Ovis aries: one gene and its partner. The protein of the gene in region 1 purifies or fractionates together with the protein of each later gene. This does not show direct contact. Links are inferred from orthologs where the notes say so. Each region holds a gene or a part of one and is shown on either strand. Other genes may lie near its edges. The genes, in order: VAMP5 and STX12.

Region 1 (4,540 bases):
CTGACCCTCCACTTTCTCATCTATAAAGTGGTAACATCTCCCACATTAGCTAAGGCATGTGATGTATGAGAAATAAAATGCCTAGCACAATTCCTGAATGCTCAATAAATAACAGCCATTATTATTGCTATAAGATCTCCTGGAGAAGGGAATGGCAACCCACTCCAGTATTCTTACCTGAAGAATTCCATGACAGAGGAGCCTGGTGGGATATAGTCCATAGGGTCTCAAGGAGTCAGACACAGCTGAGGGACTAACACTTCATATATTGCTATAGCCCAATTTTCCCTAGTATTTTTTTTAAGCTGTCAGATCCCAGGAACCACACAATACTTGTGGTTAATAAATCCTCTTAGCCACAACTACTGAAGCCCACACGCCTAGAGAAGCCACCACAATGAGAAGCCCGCGCGCCGCAACCAGAAAGTAGCCTGCGTGAAGCAACAAAGACCCACCATGCTCAAAAAAAGTTTTTTTAATAAATAATAAAATAATAAATAAATGAATCTAAAAAACATTTTTAAATAAAACTCAAATATTTTTACAAAATACACAGCCAAGCAAGCTCTTCCCTATGGCCAACTTGTGCACATAATTGTCTCTAACCTATATATAGAACTTGACATGGGCCTTTGATAACTTACATCTAGTGCATTTCCATCAGGCCTTGCAGGCTGTTGAGAATGTTTTACATCTTGACAGTAATAAAAGCTCCCAATCAATGGGCACATACTCTGAGCTAAGCACTGAGCTGCTAGCTGACTGCTCAAATTTATCTCATTAAAGCCTCACAACAATACACTGAGAAAAGTACCTTTATCTCAGTTTTATAAGAAACCGAGGCTCAGAGGGGTTAAATCACCCAGCCAAGGTCACAGAGTCAGTGAACAGAAAATCTGGGACCTGAACCGACTTAGTCTTCAAGGATCACATTCTTAACCCCTGTGTTAAACTGGATGGTGCTAAAGGGAGGTCAAATGCTTTAGCTGACTGGCTAAAGACCCACCAGACCTTTTGATGCTGCCAACTCAATTTATGTGCAAATGAGGAAGGCCTGTGGCTCAAAAACCCAAATGGTTTGCACAGTGCATAAGTGAGGACCATCTACAAGATGAATAAATCAAGTCATTCCCCACTCAGTTTCTGCCTTTCCCATCAGTATTTTGTTCCTACCCTATTCCCTGTACCCATCACCATGACTAGCAAAGGAAATGCCCAACAAACCCTTGTTAACTGAATGAATCAGCAAAGAAAAGGACTTCCCTAGTGGTCCAGTGGTTGAGACACGGATTCAGTCCCTGCTCTGGGAGGATTCCTCATGCCTCAGAGCAACCAAGCCCATGCACCACAACTACTGAACCCCACACACCCTAGAGCCTGTGCTCCGCAACAAGAAGCCACCACAATGAGAAGCCTGTGCACCACAACTAGAGAGTAGCCCCTGCTCTCCCCAATTAAAGAAAAGCCTGAGCACAGCAACAAAGACCCAGAGCAGCGAAAATAAATAAATAAACATTTTAAAAAAAGAAGAAGAAGAAGAAGGACCAGGTAGGGAAGGACCAGATGGGAAGAAGAAAGGGAAAATGCTAGGGGTGGACAAAGGGGCAGGAGTGAGAGAAAACACAGACAGGAAGGGGCCAGGAGATGGTTGGGAGAGAGATCAAATCTCAGGCTCAGATCCACTATTTGCCTGAGATGAACCTGTGAGAGTCCCAGAGTTTTCCAGTACTCCCCAATAAATGATCCCATCCTCAGCCTTCATTTCAGGAGTTTCCTCTTCTCACCAAGTACTAAGGGCCAGCTGCAAGCCCATCCTAACCCTGCCTGATTTCTTGCTCTGCATGCTGGAAAATGGGCTCCAGGCTCTACCCCATTCTCCAGGCCTCCCTCGGTTTCCTGGCCCAGCCTTAGAGCTCATCGCTACCTTCCTGCCCGGCTTCCTCTTCCTGCCTCCAGTTCCCTGGAGATGAGGCCATCTTGGCATCTCAACCCCTAGCCAGACCACATCCATCACACCTCTGCTGCTTCTCCATGGCAGGATCTTTTTTTTTTTTTGGCTGCACCATGCAAGGATCTTAGTTCCTTGACCAGGGATCGAATCTATGCCCCCTGCATTGGGAGGTCAGAGTCGTAACTGCTGGACCACCAGGGAAGTCCCTGCATGGCAGAATTTTAAAGCGCTGAGCCTGCTTCCTGCTGGACACAACTTCCCCTGAGTTCCAGGGAAGGGGAGAAGCGACTGACACCACCTGCTTCTAACACCTTTGCCTTGGAAATGACAAGCAGGGACAGAGGCCAGAGTCTACAGCACGGAGTAGGGGATGACTCAACTCAAGAATGTGTCCTTAGGTAAGGCTTAGACGGGAGTCAAGCTATGCCCCACTGATAACTTCAGTGGAAATTTTATTGTAAACATCTTCCTTTCTCTTTCCCCAGGAGAAGGAGTTTGCCCTCCAACACCCTGTCACAGGGCTGGCCTGGCCTCTACCACCCCATCTGCTCAGGTTTCCAACTCCTGGGCCAGACTTGGCTCCTCACCGCCCCAGGAAGGGCTGCAGAGGTCATCATATTACCCACCACTTCTCAGAAGCAGGTTCTGAGCGCCAGACAGATCTCTGCCATTGTATCTCCTTCAACCTCCTAAGGACCCAGCCAGGCAGGTACTGCTGACCCCACTTCACCATGCGGAAAAGGAGGTTCGGGGAGGCTAAGTGACTTGCCCCGGGGTCACAGAGCGTCTAAGTGGCCGCCACCAGGACCTCAGCACAGAGTCTCACTCCGAAGAAAGCCGGTGCGTAACTGCTCGGCTCCGGCAAGTCCCGCTCACTCACAGGGCGAGGGGCAGCCAGGACCGGCAAGTTCCGTACTTTCCCTCCCGGGATGCGCGCGGGGAGCGAAGGGTCCGGACGGGTCCAGGCTCCGGGCCGGCCGTCGTCACCTCGCCGGGGAACGGGCGTGGGTCGCGAAGGATGCCCCCGCCCTTGGACTTCGGACTGCCGCCCAGCACCCCCACGCTCTCCCTCTGCCCCCTGCCCCGCTCCGGGCCCTCACCATCGCCGCAACCGCCTCGCCCGCTCCGGCTCTTCTGCCCGAGTGGCCGCAGTGCCAGGGGCCCGGGAGGAAGCGGAGGGCGGGGCGGGGCCTGCCCGGAGCGGGCGGGGGGCGCGTCTCCTCTGAGCAGCAACCGAAACCCGGCCAAATCGAAAGCTGCCGGCGATGGCTCCCGGGATCCGGACACAGCGCCTCTCGCGGTGCTGGCGGCGCCCGGCTCGGGAGGATTCCCCAGCCTCGTGAAGTGGGGTCTCCACCTAATCAGCTTGGTGCCAGATCTACACCTCAGGAGTCCTGTGTATGAAACAGTCGCAGTGGAGTGGGCTCGCGAACGCGGGCTCAGCGGATCCTCTCTGGAACTGCATCCAAATCAGGCAGACGAGTTCACCTGGAGTTCATCTGGACAGGCATCATTTGTTCATTCAACAGGCAGGCGCTCGACGGAGCGCCATTGTCCCGCGCTGCGCTAGGGGACTGCAGACGCAGTGAAGAGCCTGGCCAGTGTTGCTGCAACTCACCCATAACCAAAAACCGACCCCCACCCCTCCAAAGTTCTGAAACTGAATAAAGTTTATTCACAATAAATATCATGAATGCACTGCCTGACACTGGATTGTACATTTGTGTGTGTGATAGTTACACAGTCTGTGTCTGATTCTTTGCGACCCCATGGACTGTAGCTCACGAAGCTCCTTTGTCTGTGGGATTCTCCAGGCCAGAATACCAGAGTGGTTAGCTATTCCTTTCTCCAGGGGATCTTCCTGACCACTGATCAAACCCAGGTTTCCTGCATTGCAGGCAAACTCTTTACCATCTGAACCACCAGGCAAGCTCAGATTGTACATTTGAAAAGGGTTGATTGTATGTTTTGTGAATTTCACCTCAATAAGACAGACTCCAGTGGGGAAGGTGCTAGCCCTAGCTTTTTCTTTATTTCCTCTTCACCGCATGGGCCATGGCAGCCCTGCCCTGATAGGACCAGCTTCCTCAGTTGGAAGATGAGGGAGGCTGGTGTGTCTGTCTGTCCAGAGCCTTCCTGAGCTGAATCTGTCCATCTTCACCCTCTCCTTTCACTGCTGCACAGAAGCCAACACCAACCAGTTCTCTACCTGGTCTCGTACCAACCCAACATCTCAAATGTGGCCCCTCTTGAGGAAGAGGGTGTTGACTTCCCTCTCCCAGGTTGAGGCCCCTGTGAGCACAGACCCCACCCTCACCCTGGAAGGTCTAGGTCCCACTCACCCCAGTTGCTTGGACTTTGAGTCTAGGAGTGGACCGAGCAGGGAGAGGATGGACATGATGGTGACCAAGAGTGACCCCCCCCAAGGGCTCTTCAGTGCTTTCCTCCCTTCCTAGTTTTCAGAGTATGCTTCTAGAACTGGATTGGCCAGTACTAGTCCCCAGTCCTGTCTCCCAACCCCGCCCCTTCCAGACTTCTTCCCCCAGACAGGGCAGAGAGATGACAAGAACCTCCCCCCAAACTAAGATG
Region 2 (3,809 bases), on another chromosome or scaffold:
GCCTTCTCTTAGTTTTGCCCATGAAAGCTGAGACTTGGTTTTCTTGGTGTTACCAGTTCTTTGCCTCTGGATGTGAAGAATGTAACCCCCAGGGACTTGTATTGTTACCAGAGGAGTTGGAGGCCTGGTACCGTCTTTGGACAGGCTCTGCTGACAGCAGAGATGATATGTCTTAGGTACACCTTTGCGGGGAGGAATCAGCCCATGTGCTTGTCTCCCTGCAGCCATGAGGAGTGGAACCAGATGCAGAGACAGGAGGATGAGGTGGCCATCACCGAACAGGACCTGGAGCTTATTAAAGAGAGGGAGACAGCGATTCGGCAGCTGGAGGTGAGGGCCAGGTCATGTTTTTTGTTTGACTCAGTGTATCTGCAATCTGGTTTTTCTCTCATTGATTATGAAAAAGGATGAAATGAGTTGTACAGTTTGCATATTATGTGTCAGTGTAATCACGGTGAATTTGACCTACTCTTATGACCATATCAGGATTCCCTGGTACCTCAGCTGGTAAAGAATCCACTTGCAATGTAGGAGACCCTGGTTTGATTCCTGGGTTGGGAAGACCCGCTGGAGAAGGGATAGGCTACCCATTCCAGTACTCTTGGGCTTCACTGATGGCTCAGCTGGTAAAGAATCCATCTGCAATGCGGGAGACCTAGGTTCAATCCCTGGGTTGGGAAGATCCCCTGGAGAAGGGAACGGCTACCCATTCTAGTATTCTGGCCTGGAGAATCAGGCCACAAAGAGGATTCAGGGTCACAAAGAGTTGGACATGACTGAGCAACTTTCACACTTCACTAGGATGGTACTGGTCATGGTGCCTGAGGATACCTGGACCCCCTTTTCAGTCACCATATTTTATAAGGTCTCCATGAGAATACCCATGGAGAACAGAACAAGGCCAACAAATATTTTATTAAGACCTTGTCCCCAAACCTCAATGCCAGTCTCTAGGTTCGGTGGGGCTCTACGGAGAGCCCTTTGCTTAGTCTGAATAACCCAGAGTAAAGATAGGCCAAAAAGTTTGCTCCATTTTTGCGCATCTGAAAGTCCAATCACAAATTGTGGATATCCCATCTGTGAGTCAGAGAAACAGGAACAATTTTTGAGGTGAGGGTTGAGAGAGAAGTCTCAAGGCCTTTCTTACCTGAGTTTCCAACTTTAATTTTTTGCATGATGACCAGTAAAATATCCTTAAACCTGAGTACTTTTCTCCATGGAGATGGAAGACTGCCATCTTGGGGACAGTGGGGGGAGGAGGGTTGTAGAGAGGAGAAACTTTGATCTCCTCCTTGACCTTCATCTGTGGCAGTGGTTCTGAACCCTGACTGTACTTTTAGAATCACTTGGAGATTTTTTTTTTTAATGCCCCACCTCTTCTCATCCCCGCACCAATTACTAGTTTGAACTGCATGTGATTTTCTTATTTTTTTGTAGGTTAAAAATGGACAAACATCCACAGGAAGCCCTGGGTGAGGGCATTTTTTATCTTACAAACTTCCCAGGTGATTACAAAGTGCAGTCAAGGTTGAGACACATTTCCCTAGAGCCCTCTGTTTTTTTCTCTTGATACTTCTTCTTTTTTTTTTTTTTTTATTGAAGGATAATTGCTTTACAGAATTTTGTTGTTGCCCTCTGTTTTTTGATGAAACAGTTCATCCTTGTGCTCGTACTTGTGCTTTGTGACCCCATGGACCGTAGCCTGCCAGACTCCTCTGTCCAAGGGAATCTCCAAGCAAGAATCCTGGAGTGGGTTGCCATTTCCTACTCTATGGGATCTTCCCAACCCAGGGATTGAACACATACCTCCTGTGTCTCCTGGATTACAGGTGGATTCTTTACCGGCTGAGCCATCAGGGAAAGCCAGAAGTTTGACTTCAAAGATGTCATGTGTTTTCTTTTTCATCTATTGCTACTAATCATCTAATTGATTCTTTCACATGAGAAATCCCATTCAGCCGAGAGTAGAATGAGATGTGTGGAGCTGAGGAGAGGAGTGTCATGGGCACTTCACGTTCAACAGAATCAAGGTCTAATTCCTTAGCTGTTGCACTTTCGTGTCCAGTCATTTCCTGCATCTAACATGCAAACCCTGCTCTAACAGTGCAGCAACACACTCCGGTGTGCTTCTCTTCTACTCCCACTCTATCCTTCCCACACTCTGGTCACCAAATATGTGTTTTTGCCCCCCACATCAAGCAATTCTGCCACATCATCAAGATACGCTACAGTGCAACTTAGTTCTAATACTGTCTTCCTGGAGTTAGCCTCAGATCCCACAGATTGAAGGTTCAGTCCCACAAGACTGACCCCCGTTTCTGCGACTTCAGGTGCCAGTCGCAAATCCAGGTTGTCACCTGTGCTTCTGACCAACAGGTTGGAAATTGGAAGTTCTCATGATCCCCTCCTTGGGTTTGATTAATTAGCTGGAGCAGCTCACAGAACTCAAGAAAACAGTTTACTCATTAGGTTACTGGTTTATTATAAGAGGATACAGCTCAGGAAGAGCCAGACGGAAGAGATGCATAGGGCAAAGTATATGGCCAGGGGTACATGGCTTCCATGGGGCTTCTCCGGTGGTGCAGTGGCAAAGAATCTGCCTGCAGTGCAGGAGATTCAGGAGACATGGGTTCTATCCCTGGGTCAGGAAGATCCTCTGGAGGAGGACATGGCAACCCACTCCAGTATTCTTGCCTGGAGAATCCCATGCACAGAGGAGCCTGATGGGCTATAGTCCATAGGGTTGCAAAGAGTCAGACATGACTGAAATGATTGAGCATGCACGCATGCATGGCTTCCATGCCTTCTCCAGGCCTACTACACTCCCCATATCTCCATGTGTTCACTAACCAAGAAGCTCTCTGAACTTCTGGTTACATGAGCATGATTAATTAAATAATTGGCCTTTGGTGATTGATCTAACCTTGAGCCCTCCACCCCTCCCCAGAGGTTGGAATTGGGGCTGAAAGTTCCAATCAACTAAACACCAGGTTGGTTCCCCTGGCAACTAGTCCCCATCCTTAGGGGTTTTTACAAAAGCCAAGCTATTAACATACTTAGGAGTGGTTGAAAGGGTTTGTTTTGAATTAAAAAGGACATCTTTATCTCTTTTATCACTTAGAAAAAAATTTTAGGAGCTCTGTGCTCCGGTTGAGACAAAGATCAAATACATATTTCTTATTATGAATCATAATATCACATCCACGTTATAGCCAAACTGGGCTGTTTGTTCTATGTATATGGCTTCTTAAGTCCTGCCTCTTCTGCCATAGTCTTCCTTCTCTGCTTGAGGTAAATGCTATACCACTTATTAGTCATTTACCATATAATACCCTTTCTTTTAAGTGCTGCACTCAATAATGTCAGCAAATTTGGAAAACTCAGCAGTGGCCACAGGACTGGAAAAGGTCAGTTTTCATTCCAATCCCAAAGAAAGGCAATGCCAAAGAATGCTCAAACCACCGCACAATTGCACTCATCTCACATTCTAATAAAGTAATGCTCAAAACTCTCCAAGCCAGGCTTCAGCAATACGTGAACCGTGAACTTCCTGATGTTCAAGCTGGTTTTAAAAAAGGCAGAGGAACCAGAGATCAAATTGCCAACATCTGCTGGATCATTGAAAAAGCAAGAGAGTTCCAGAAAAACATCTATTTCTGCTTTATTGTGGAGAAGGCAGTGGTACCCCACTCCAGTACTCTTGTCTGGAAAATCCCATGGACGGAGGAGCCTGGTAGGCTGCAGTCCATGGGGTCACTAAGAGTCAGACACGACTGAGCGACTTCATTTTCACTTTTCACTTTCACTTT

The links.
Region 2: the proteins of VAMP5 (region 1) and STX12 purify together in Homo sapiens (affinity purification with mass spectrometry; 3 studies listed by BioGRID and IntAct, with this or other methods). This does not show direct contact. The link is inferred for Ovis aries from reciprocal best matches to the Homo sapiens genes VAMP5 and STX12.

The regions. Positions count from the first base shown.
Region 1 is NC_056056.1:57,427,902-57,432,441, reverse strand, and holds the start of VAMP5 (vesicle-associated membrane protein 5), read right to left. Parts: upstream 3,096-4,540; 5' UTR 3,052-3,095; intron 1-3,051. UniProt on the Homo sapiens protein: May participate in trafficking events that are associated with myogenesis, such as myoblast fusion and/or GLUT4 trafficking.
Region 2 is NC_056055.1:239,290,625-239,294,433, reverse strand, and holds part of STX12 (syntaxin-12), read left to right. Parts: intron 1-224; coding exon 225-330; intron 331-3,809. UniProt on the Homo sapiens protein: SNARE promoting fusion of transport vesicles with target membranes. Together with SNARE STX6, promotes movement of vesicles from endosomes to the cell membrane, and may therefore function in the endocytic recycling pathway.